Linked DNA regions of Canis lupus familiaris. The protein of the gene in region 1 purifies or fractionates together with the protein of each later gene. This does not show direct contact. Links are inferred from orthologs where the notes say so. Each region holds a gene or a part of one and is shown on either strand. Other genes may lie near its edges.

What was found.
Region 2: the proteins of RAB11FIP1 (region 1) and RAB11B purify together in Homo sapiens (affinity purification with mass spectrometry; 3 studies listed by BioGRID and IntAct, counting the BioPlex papers as one, with this or other methods). This does not show direct contact. The link is inferred for Canis lupus familiaris from reciprocal best matches to the Homo sapiens genes RAB11FIP1 and RAB11B.

The regions. Positions count from the first base shown.
Region 1 is NC_049237.1:28,256,573-28,261,638, reverse strand, and holds part of RAB11FIP1 (rab11 family-interacting protein 1), read right to left. Parts: intron 4,072-5,066; coding exon 3,270-4,071; intron 2,247-3,269; coding exon 375-2,246; intron 1-374. UniProt on the Homo sapiens protein: A Rab11 effector protein involved in the endosomal recycling process. Also involved in controlling membrane trafficking along the phagocytic pathway and in phagocytosis. Interaction with RAB14 may function in the process of neurite formation.
Region 2 is NC_049241.1:53,369,482-53,374,547, reverse strand, and holds part of RAB11B (ras-related protein Rab-11B), read right to left. Parts: intron 3,965-5,066; coding exon 3,769-3,964; intron 3,056-3,768; coding exon 2,862-3,055; intron 2,518-2,861; coding exon 2,437-2,517; intron 1,823-2,436; coding exon 1,677-1,822; 3' UTR 1-1,676. UniProt on the Homo sapiens protein: The small GTPases Rab are key regulators of intracellular membrane trafficking, from the formation of transport vesicles to their fusion with membranes.

The sequences.
Region 1 (5,066 bases):
GCTTAAAGCAAGCTTCCAACACAGCTACGTTCTATCACTCCATCTCAGTTGGTTTTTGATACTAGGAAGGTACTGGTCACAAGACATCTCTGTGATCTGAGAGCCCCAAATCTGACTGTCCAGCGTAATTCCTAAACTATCTCTAAAGACTAATATTGTATCCTCCCTGCAAATGCAGGAGTGTCTTGAGAAGGTGTTCCCACCACTGGACAGACCCTTTAAAAATGAGCCTTACCAGCAAAATGTGCAGGAGGTACCACCTGGATATCCATGCAGCTAGAAAGCCCTTATCTCTGCAGGCAAAAGGCAAAAAGGGCTGTGGGAAGGTGGGGGGGATCGCTCACATTGACAAAACAATCTTCCCCGACTCTCACCTGTGCTTGGCTGACCCCGTTCCCGCGCTTGGCTGAGCTGAGACTGGCTGTGTCTCTGAGGGTGAGACCCAGGCCTGAAGAAGCGGCTTCCTCTTGCCAGAATTTTCCACTTTATCAGCGGAGCCCTCTGCTGTTGCTTTTTTTTGAGATTCTGCTGTACTGGTGTGGTGAGTGTCAGCATGTGGGTGGCTGGGGAAAGAGTGTGTAATAGGAAAGGTCTCAGAAAAGGAGGGGCTGGGTACAGGGGAGTCGAGGGCTGTATCAGGAGGCTGGCTGGGCCTCCCATTTCCCATCAGCTTTTCCTTCTTGCCACAGCCAGGACCTGGCAGCTGTTTATCCAAGCGTGAGCTCTTGCCAAGCTCTGGTTTATGAATTCCTGAAGCTGTAGTTGGCTCTGAAGAGGCCATAACAGATACTTCGGGTGCTTTTGACCCGAGGTCAGGCAGGCTCTCTACAGGTGCCGCCCACCCATCTGCCTCGCCCCTCGGCCCCTTCTCCATCTCAGGATGGGCATGTGACATGCTCACGGAGGAAGGTCCTACTTGCAGGGCTGCCACCTGGGCTGTCTCTCTGTCATCTTCACCCTGATCCACCCTTTCATCATCTGACGCCACTTCAGGAATTGCAGGAAGGGTTAAGCCCAGATCAGCCATGACTGGAGAGTTAATACCTGGGATAGAGTGAAGGCCACTCAGGGGATCAGACAATAAACCTTCGTGATCACTGGCTTTGCTCTGATTTTGAGCCATAGGCGTATCGTCTCGCTCAATCTTTAAGAGTGGGATGTCTTTCCCTGAGCTTGCCTCACTCACAGGGCCTTCTGAGACACACTCCTTGGAAGAGGGGAAGTGAAGGGGGTCTGCCATGGAAGCTGGCACACCATGCTTCACTGGCCCGGGTGCAGACACAGCTTCCGTCTCTGTGACCTCTGCGTGGAAACACCCAGCAGGCTCTCCGTCTGACAGGTTTCCAGAGGTGGCTCCTTTGTGTGTCACCTCCTGGGGATTATCTCTGTGCTCTTCCACCAACCCAGTGGACTCCTCTAGCTCCTCTTCCATAAAGATCTCCTCTGAAAATGATACACGCTTCTTGATTTTCTTTTGGCTTTCGTCAACATTCTCTTTGTGTCTCTGCATCACAGAGCCAAGAGTGGGAGCTGATTCTCCAGACTGAAGAGGGGGTGCCGCTTCTTTAATTGCAGAAGTCATGCTGCCCCCCTTAACTCTGTTCTCCCCAAAAGACCCAAATGGATGCTCTGAGCCTGTGTGTTCCCCCATCAGAGGCCTCCATGCCGGGCTCTCGATCTGGCCACTTCTGAATGAAGGAGCAAGTATTACTTCTTGGGTCTCTTGAGACGAAGGGGCATAGTCTTGTTCTGAGTGGGGAGCCCTCTGAACTTCTTCCCTTTCAGGTTGCTTTAGGAGAGACCTTTCTGAGTCATGACCGACGGTGCTCTCCAGGCCTATCTCACTGGTCTTCCCCATTGGATAATCTTCCATTCCCTTCCACGCTGGAGTGGGGAGCTGTTGGAAACGTGACCCCGAGGCACAAGAAACAGTCTTTGGATCCTGTGTTAAACTCTCTCTTAGCAATTCTGCCTTATGGAGCAAAGATGGTTCTTCAGGACTGGCCTGGCCCTGGTCTGTGGGGGGCCAGTTTTCAACTGGCGTGGATGTGGAAATGGGAGCCACAATGGGAGATGAGAAAGAGAAGACAGAAGGAGATTCAGAGGATGGTGTCTCTGCACAATGCCCCAATTTAGAAGGGACAGGTGTCTGGCCAGAACTGGACAGAAGAGCAGAAAAAAAGAGAGTAGAGTCAGGGGAAGAAGGAAGCCTGGCTGTGGCTGGAGCCTCTGGAGACACGTCCAGTCTGCAAAAAGGACAAAATAAAATCTGCAGGTCAGTTGCAGATTCATCATGAGAGGCGATAAACACTTAAAAGATAAAGGTGTTCCAAAGGGGAGAGCACTTTAATATTTGGGGCAGTATTTTAAGAAGTTAGAGAAGGAACATTAATAACATATGAAAGGAACACTTTTATCACCAAGCACATCTGCCATGCGAAGGGCTGCTGCAACACAGAAAGCTCCAAGTAAAGCAACAGCCTACGGTCTCTTTTGGTGATAAACAAAATACATCGAAAAATTTCAAAGCAATAAAGGATGCACTCAGGGTAACAGGCACCAGTTTTAAGAGGAACAGTCTGCATGCATGTGTGTGTGTGTGTGTGTGTGTATGTGTGTGTGTGCATGTGTGTGAAATCAAAGTAAAGCAGAATCTCAAAAAAAGTCTCTACCACCCCAGACCACAGAAACATTGTCAGTGTGAATGTGAGTCATGCTGAAAGCAGAAGCCCCCCGACGCTCACTCAGGCTTTTGCAACAAGATGCACAACTGAACACTCAGAGAACCATCCCAGGCATCCTCGAGAGTGGACCAAAGGCCTCCCGTGCCAGCAAAGCAATGCCACGTTGCAAGGAGGAAAGATACTATCCTCCTGAAAGGGCAATATGTGATAAGAACTTTAAACAAAAAAAGAACTTTAAATAAAAACACATGTTCTGCTCATACCACAGCCAAAACCTGGCATTCCCATTTGCAATACTCATAGTCAGCTGCAAAGCATGGTTTTCCACGGGGTCTGATTATCTTACTGAGATGGACAGACCGCGCCTGCTGGCAGGGGCTTTGGGCTGGGATGCACCACTGCAGCCCGGGCAGGGTGGGCCAGGCAGGCAGTATAGGCTGATAAAAATAACTCAGATGATGAAATGCTTGCCATACACAGCTACGACCACGGACCAGCAAGCAAGATCTGCTCGGCCAGTAGACCTTGCTGACTACCCTGGACAGTGAGGTGTGGGCCCCCTGCCCGAGGAGGGCTAGGACTCACCGTGGCTTGACAGCTTTCGTTTGCGGTGCCCTCGTAGAGCCGACGGGGGGTGTGGGTTCAAACGTGAGCTGTCGGTCAGGTTCAGGTTCTGTGACCTGCACTTCTTCAAACGGGTTCAGGGAGCGGCCCTGTCCAAAGACAACGGCCACAGTATCCTTCTCAGATCGTTTCCCTAGGTCTTCGTCAGGCCCTGGCTGGTCCTCCCTCGGTTTGACTTCCATCGATGTGCCTTCTGTCTCCTTCCCTGGGGTGGCAGAAGGGCTTCCGCCTTCGCTGCCCTTGGCTGTGTCCTTCTTTCCCGTCACCAGGGACAGCAAAGAGGACTTCTTATTCTCCTGCTTCTTGCTCTCTTTGGTTTCCTTTGCAGCCTCCAAGCTCGCTGGTGCTGCGTTCTCCCGAATATCCCCACTGACCTGTGGCCGGTAGGACGGCAGAGACATGGATTTGAGAGAGTCCTTTGTGGAAGACTCAGACCACCGCCTGTCGGAAGACACTGCCCCTCCATCCCCAGGCTCCTTCCAAGACCGAGTCGCCAGGTTTTCGGTGGAAGAGAACAGATGCTTCTTCCGGAAGCCCTGGGGAGACGGGGAAGAGGAGGGAGTGCTCTCCTTCGTCTCGCCCTTGGTTTCCGGCTGCTCCAAGTAAACATGGTTCCCATTGATACAGACGTTAGAGCGAGAAAGGACATCATTCTTAGACCGAAGGCCACCAAAAAAGGAGGGTCCTTCCCTCTTGGGCAGGCTGAAATTGCTCTGGTTCAGTTGCTTAGGATCTGCACTCTCTGTTCTCTTGTGAGACATGACTGCAGGGAAGAAAAACAAAAACCAAAAAGTTAAACGACTGGTTCACAACTGGAAAGGGGTGACATCTCTCCGTGCCTGAACACGTTTTTGTTTACTGGCATGACGGTGTGTTACAGCATCTAACAGGTAGAAGCCAGGGATGCGGCTAAAGATCCTACAATGCATGGGGCAGCCCCTACAACAAGGAGTTATCTGGCCCAACCTGCCAAGAGTGCTGAGGTCCGGAAACCCTGCATTAAACCAATGAGAAGGGCCAAATCTGGCCAAAAGTAAGAATTTAGGCATTGAAATTGAAGTTCAAATTCACAGTTAAAGGAACTAGATTCCTCAACCTTAATTAAGGATAATTCCCATGAAGGTTAAACACATTAATAGGATCTCAATAAATACCTGATGAACCAATGAAACGTCAGAATTACTCTAAGGTTCCATGATTTTACCCTTAATTTAAAAAAAGAAAAACCTGGATGCATGCATTCTGTTAATTCCAAAAGCTTATTTTATATATACAGATTTTATTTATTTGAGATAGAGCACAAACAGGGGGAGAGCCAGAGGGAGAAGCAGGCTCCCTGCTGAGCAGGAAGACTAAGGTGGGGCTCGATCCCAGGATCCTGGGATCAGTGATCTGAGCCAAAGGCAAATGCTTAACTGACTGAGCCACCCAGGCGCCCCCTCAAAGCCTTTTTTAATGGACATCAGCAACAGAGCCAGACATTTTAGAAAAAGGAATTTATACGTTCTTAGAAACCAGAGCACTTAGAAATAGAGAAGACTTTGTAACCAAGATTATCCACCATAATGACCATCGTCACCATCATCATGGCCATCATCACCAGCTCCCTCATGACCATCATTTCAGTAACCAAGGAACCGAATCAAAATCTTTAAGATTTGTTTCTTCTCTCTCTCTCTTTTAAAAGATTTTATTTATTTATTCATGAGAGACACAGAATGGGGGGACAGAGACAGGCAGAGGGAGAAGGAGGCTCCA
Region 2 (5,066 bases), on another chromosome or scaffold:
CTCCCCTACAGGAACAGCCCCCTGTGCCTCAGGGCTCTTCTGGAAGGGCTGTCTGGGTTTGCCCAGCTCTCCAGGCAGGGCAGCCAAAGCCTGAAGTTGGGAGAAAGCAGACCCCTGTCTCTGGTGAGTCTTCTAGGGGTCAAGGGCGTAAGTGGCTTCAGTCAGAGGGTAGAGCATCTGGAACAGCTGCAGGCACTCAGGTGAGAGGGGACACAGTGGGTCACACGGTCAGTGCAGGGATGGGATTGTGGGGATAGCGACATTCCCTCCATAGTAGGAAATGGCTCTGCCCACATGGACCAGGGGAGAAGCTGGACCCTGGGGAGAGGCAGAGGAACTCCAGGCCACCTGCCTCCCCTCTGTCACCAGCATCCTTCCACTGGGCCCTTCCCAAAGGTCAGTCCAGGATGGGGAGAGCAGGGGTGGCGCTGGCACCACCACCATCCCCTGGATGAGCCCCTGGAGGCAGCTGTGGGCAGCAGATGGAAGTGAGGACAGTCCAACCCCAGGGCCAGGAATGGGGAGCAGTGGGCTGGGAAGAAGCTGAATACATCCCCCAGCCACAGGGGCAGCTTGGAGAGGATACCCCCCACCACCACCAGGCCAAGGGCCCTGTGGTCAGCTCGTGGGCCTCTGCACTGTCCTGGGTGGCACTTGGGCCTGGTCTTCCAGCTCCCTGTGGCAGCGGGACATGCACCGCGAGGAGCCCCGGCCCCAGGCGTGGCCTCCTGGCAGAGAAAAATGAAGACAAAGGCGCAGTGGCAGGTTTCTGTACAGGAAGTCGGATTATACATTTTAGTAACGGGCGGAAGAAATGAGGCATCGGGGCAACAGTGCAGGGGCCACAGGGAGAATAAGAGATCGAGAGCTGGGGTTTGGCGTCAATCTTACAAAGTGTATAAAGAATCTGTGTTTCTCTACAATAACAAAAAAACCAAAGGCTACAAGAGCGGTTGTATATACAAAACACGGAGATATTGCTTCACTTGCAAACAGGTTCCTGACCAGACAGGAGACAAGACAGAGGGGAGCACAGGGAGGGAGGGCCGGAGAGCGCGCTGCGTGCAAAAGGAAGGGGAGGGGGGAGAGGGGTCTTCTCCCAGCATAAATCTACAGGCAGGAGCTGGAGTCGCGCACACACGGGAGGTCGAAGGCGTGTACCGGTGCTGGCTGTGCGTGGGGGAACGGGGGTGCCGAGAGCCAAGAGTGTCCACTGGCCCTGGCCCCCTGGCGCCTTGCTCTTCGAGCTAATGCTCAGAACGGGGTTCTGGGTGGGGATCGGGGGCCAGTTGTCGGGCCAACTGGCCGCAGAGGGAGGGAGGTGATCGCTCCCTGGAGTCTGCCGTGGAAAATTGGAGAAGCCTGCTCGGTGTGCCCATCCTCCTTGCCTCTGGCTGGCCCTGTCCGTCCTGCCACCCTCCCCGACCCGCCGCGATGCACACTGGGACCCAAGAAGAGCAGGTGCAGCAACCCGGGCTTCTAGCTTTCCTTGAGCAGGACAGCGGGTACCACTTGACTCCTGTTCTTCCCGGGCCCTGGCCAGCCATGCGGAGCTCGATGGGAGGGCAGGAGCCAGTCACAGAGGGACAGAGAGGGTGGGGCAAGGGAGCACAGAGAGGTGAGGGGCGGGCGGAGGACGAGGACGTGCACGCACGCTCGGACGAGGCGCGGGGCGGTCACAGGTTCTGGCAGCACTGCAGCTTGTTGGGTTTCTGTCCGTCGGTGGTGGGCGGCACGCTGATGTCCACCACGTTGTTGCCAGGGGACTCGTCATGGGCTGCGCGGTCTGCAATCTGCTTCTGTGACACAATGCGGTAGATCTCTGCAGGTGGGGGGAACGTGGGGTGAGTGTGCTGCGTGCTCGCCCGCAATGACTGTCCCCCTGCCATCTGGACCGGCCGCCCTCCGGGGAGCAGCCCCAAGGCTGAACCCAAAACCCCTCTCAAAGGCCCTGACTGTGCCCCCCAACACGGCGGGGCAGGGGGAGACAGGCTCCCACCTGGTCACCCAATGCTGACTGTGTGCTCAGCAAGAACGGGACCCGTGTCTGGTCACAGATGTACCCCCGGCCTGGCCTCTTGTCCTATATGATCAGAGGCCCCCTCCTCCCAGAATAAGCACCCAGGGGCCTCGGGGCCCAGTGTCCCCCTGGCTGACCGAGCTGGCTGCTCTCTGGTGGAGCCACGGCAGAGGGGCCTTGCAGAAGCTGGGTCGAAGGGGTCTCTACGTCCTGAGTGCCAGCAGGGCCAGGATCTGGCCTGATCCCTAAAGCACGCCACATCTGTCCTGTGTCCAGACCGACTTGCAGGTTTAAAGACTAAAGCTTCTCCGGCTGTGCTCTGGAGCATGCAGTCAGAATGGCTGGTGCCCTTCCCAGGCCCCCCCCACGATGGGCATATTGGGGTTACTATGGCCCCAGCCAGGCCCTGTGACCACCTGTGAGGATGTTCTTGAAAGCTTCCTCTACGTTGGTGGAATCCAAGGCTGAGGTCTCAATGAAAGACAAGTTGTTCTTTTCTGGAACAAAAAGAATATGGCCCAGGTGAGCAGTGGTGGAGCAGGGGGGCGCTGCCCTGCATCCTCTCAGCGACCCTGCTTGCCTGCCCGCTTGCCTGGCCCATGAAATGAATGGTTGGGGCCAAAGGGATAGGATCGAGATGACCACACCTCAAGAAGGGGTAGCTGGTACCGAGGCCATGGCCAAGAGAGAGAAGATGCCAGGGGCCTGGGGGGCAGGGCAGCTGCCCGCCTTCCAGATGTTTCTCTGACGCCTCAGTCACCATCTCGCTTTGGGGAATGTGGCCCCGGGGAGGCCTGGGCAGGCCCCCTGGCCACACCTGCTCCAGCCCAGCTTGACTCACCGGCAAAGGCACGGGCCTCGTCAGTGGGCACGGCCCGTAGGTGGCGAAGGTCACTCTTGTTGCCCACCAGCATGATGACGATGTTGCTGTCGGCGTGGTCCCGCAGCTCCTTCAGCCAGCGCTCCACGTTCTCATAGGTCAGGTGCTTGGCGATGTCGTACACGAGCAGTGCGCCCACTGCACCGCGGTAGTACCTGTGGGGGCAGGGCGTGAGCCGGCTGCCAGGGCCCCCCACGACCCCCTAGCCTGGGCTCTGTGGGCAGCAGCCCCTAAGCCCCCACACACAGAGCAGGAGGCACAGGGCCTGCTCAAGGGGTGGCCACTGCGGCCTCGAGGGAGACAGGTGTGTCCTGAGGTTCTGGCTCTGCTCCCCAGGTTCAGCTCAGGAATACGGAGCCAGAGGAAGAAGTCTGGGACCTGGGGTCAGAAGACACTCATAAAAAGGAAGAAGGAGAGAGCCACTGCTGGGCACAACCTCTGATGCCCACCGTGGCTCGGCCAGCCTGACCACCAAGGAGACAGACGGCCACATGTCTACCCCGAAGGATTAGGGACATGAGAAGGTGACCAGGCTTTGTTGGAGGGAGTCCCAAGGACACAACTGGCTGAGGACTGCAGAGAGGTGACCCTCACCGTGTGGCCAGCATCCAGAGAAATCAGAGCCTCAGGGGACTCCAGGGGTCAGAGGGAGCAAAGGACATGGCTACCCTAGGGTCACAGTGTGGCCAACACTGGGTATTGGTTGCCCCAATGGTCCCACAGTTCCTGGAGGTCCTGTCCCACCACCCTGGGCTGCCCACTGTGCAGAGGTGTGCTCTCCCCTTCTCCCGCCCAACTCCTACCCATCCTTCAAGGCCCACCAGCCCACCGCCGTGGCTGCCTGCATCTCCCCAGCCCCGGCACTCACGCAGAGGTGATGGCACGGTAGCGCTCCTGCCCGGCGGTGTCCCAGATCTGCGCCTTGATGGTCTTGCCGTCCACCTGGATGCTGCGGGTGGCGAATTCCACGCCGATGGTGCTCTTGCTCTCCAGGTTGAACTCGTTGCGGGTGAAGCGTGATAGCAGGTTGCTCTTCCCCACGCCCGAGTCCCCAATGAGCACCACTTTGGGGGGGCAGGAGGGACATAGGTGAGACTCTGCAGGCCAGCTTCCCCGAGCCAAGGCCCAGACACCACCCATGTGCACCTGCAGGACTGTCGGGGCACCCTGGGTGCTGCACAAACTTGAAAGTCAATGTCAGAGCAGTCAGAGCCATCCTGGAGCCCAAGGCACCACGTTCCCTGGTGCAGAAGCAAACAGGGGCTCAGGACTTCTGCAAACACAGCCACTGTGGGTGGCGTAACACCCCAGCTGTCTCCAGTCCTTCGGAGCAGGGCTGCCCCCACTGCGAGGGCTGGACCCAGACATCTCAGCAGGTATGTCTTAACCTCTCTGGGCTGCCTTTTCTGCAAGAGGGGGACTCAAGGAGAAATGGCAGGATCAGAACTCCACAAGCACCTAGCATGCTAAGACAGGCCGGGGAGCGGTTATGACCAGTGTTCTTCCAGCTTCTTACCAGAAGGGTCGGTCTCCAGAGCTCTAACAGGAAATGAGGAGTCTCGCCCCCACGCCCACCCTCACGGGGAGCTGCTATAAGCAATCCCACATGCAGCTGTGGCACAGTCGGAGCTGGCTCATGCGGAACAGGAATGTGCCCTCTAGACGCAGCCATGAAGGCACAGAGCCTGCCACCCTGACGCCCCCAGAGCCAGCCCTTCCTGCAGAGACATCCGAGCACCAGTCCTGAGCACAGCAGAGCAGGCCCCTCCAGCCTCTCCTGGTATTCTTCTAACAAGGTTCCTGCCCCAGCCAGAGAAACATTGCCCCAAGGGGCCAAGGCTCCCCAGGCTCTGGGGCAGGGCCACGTGAGACGCTCCAGGAGAAGTGTGAGCCCAAGAGGCTGTCCTTGGACCCAAGACACACTGCGTCTCATGTGTGTGTACGCACGGTGTGTGGGCCGCGCTGGCACCCCCGGGTGATGTGCAACGCAGAAGAAACAACACTCGGCGGTCGGTCCAGACACGCCAGAGAGAAACCACATGGATCCCCCACATGTGGATCTTGGGCTCTGGCACCCAGGGTGGGTCTGTCCAATGGGAAGACGTGGGGGCCGAAGGCGTGGTCACCCACAGCACCAGTAAAAAGCTCTTCCTCGAATGGATATGT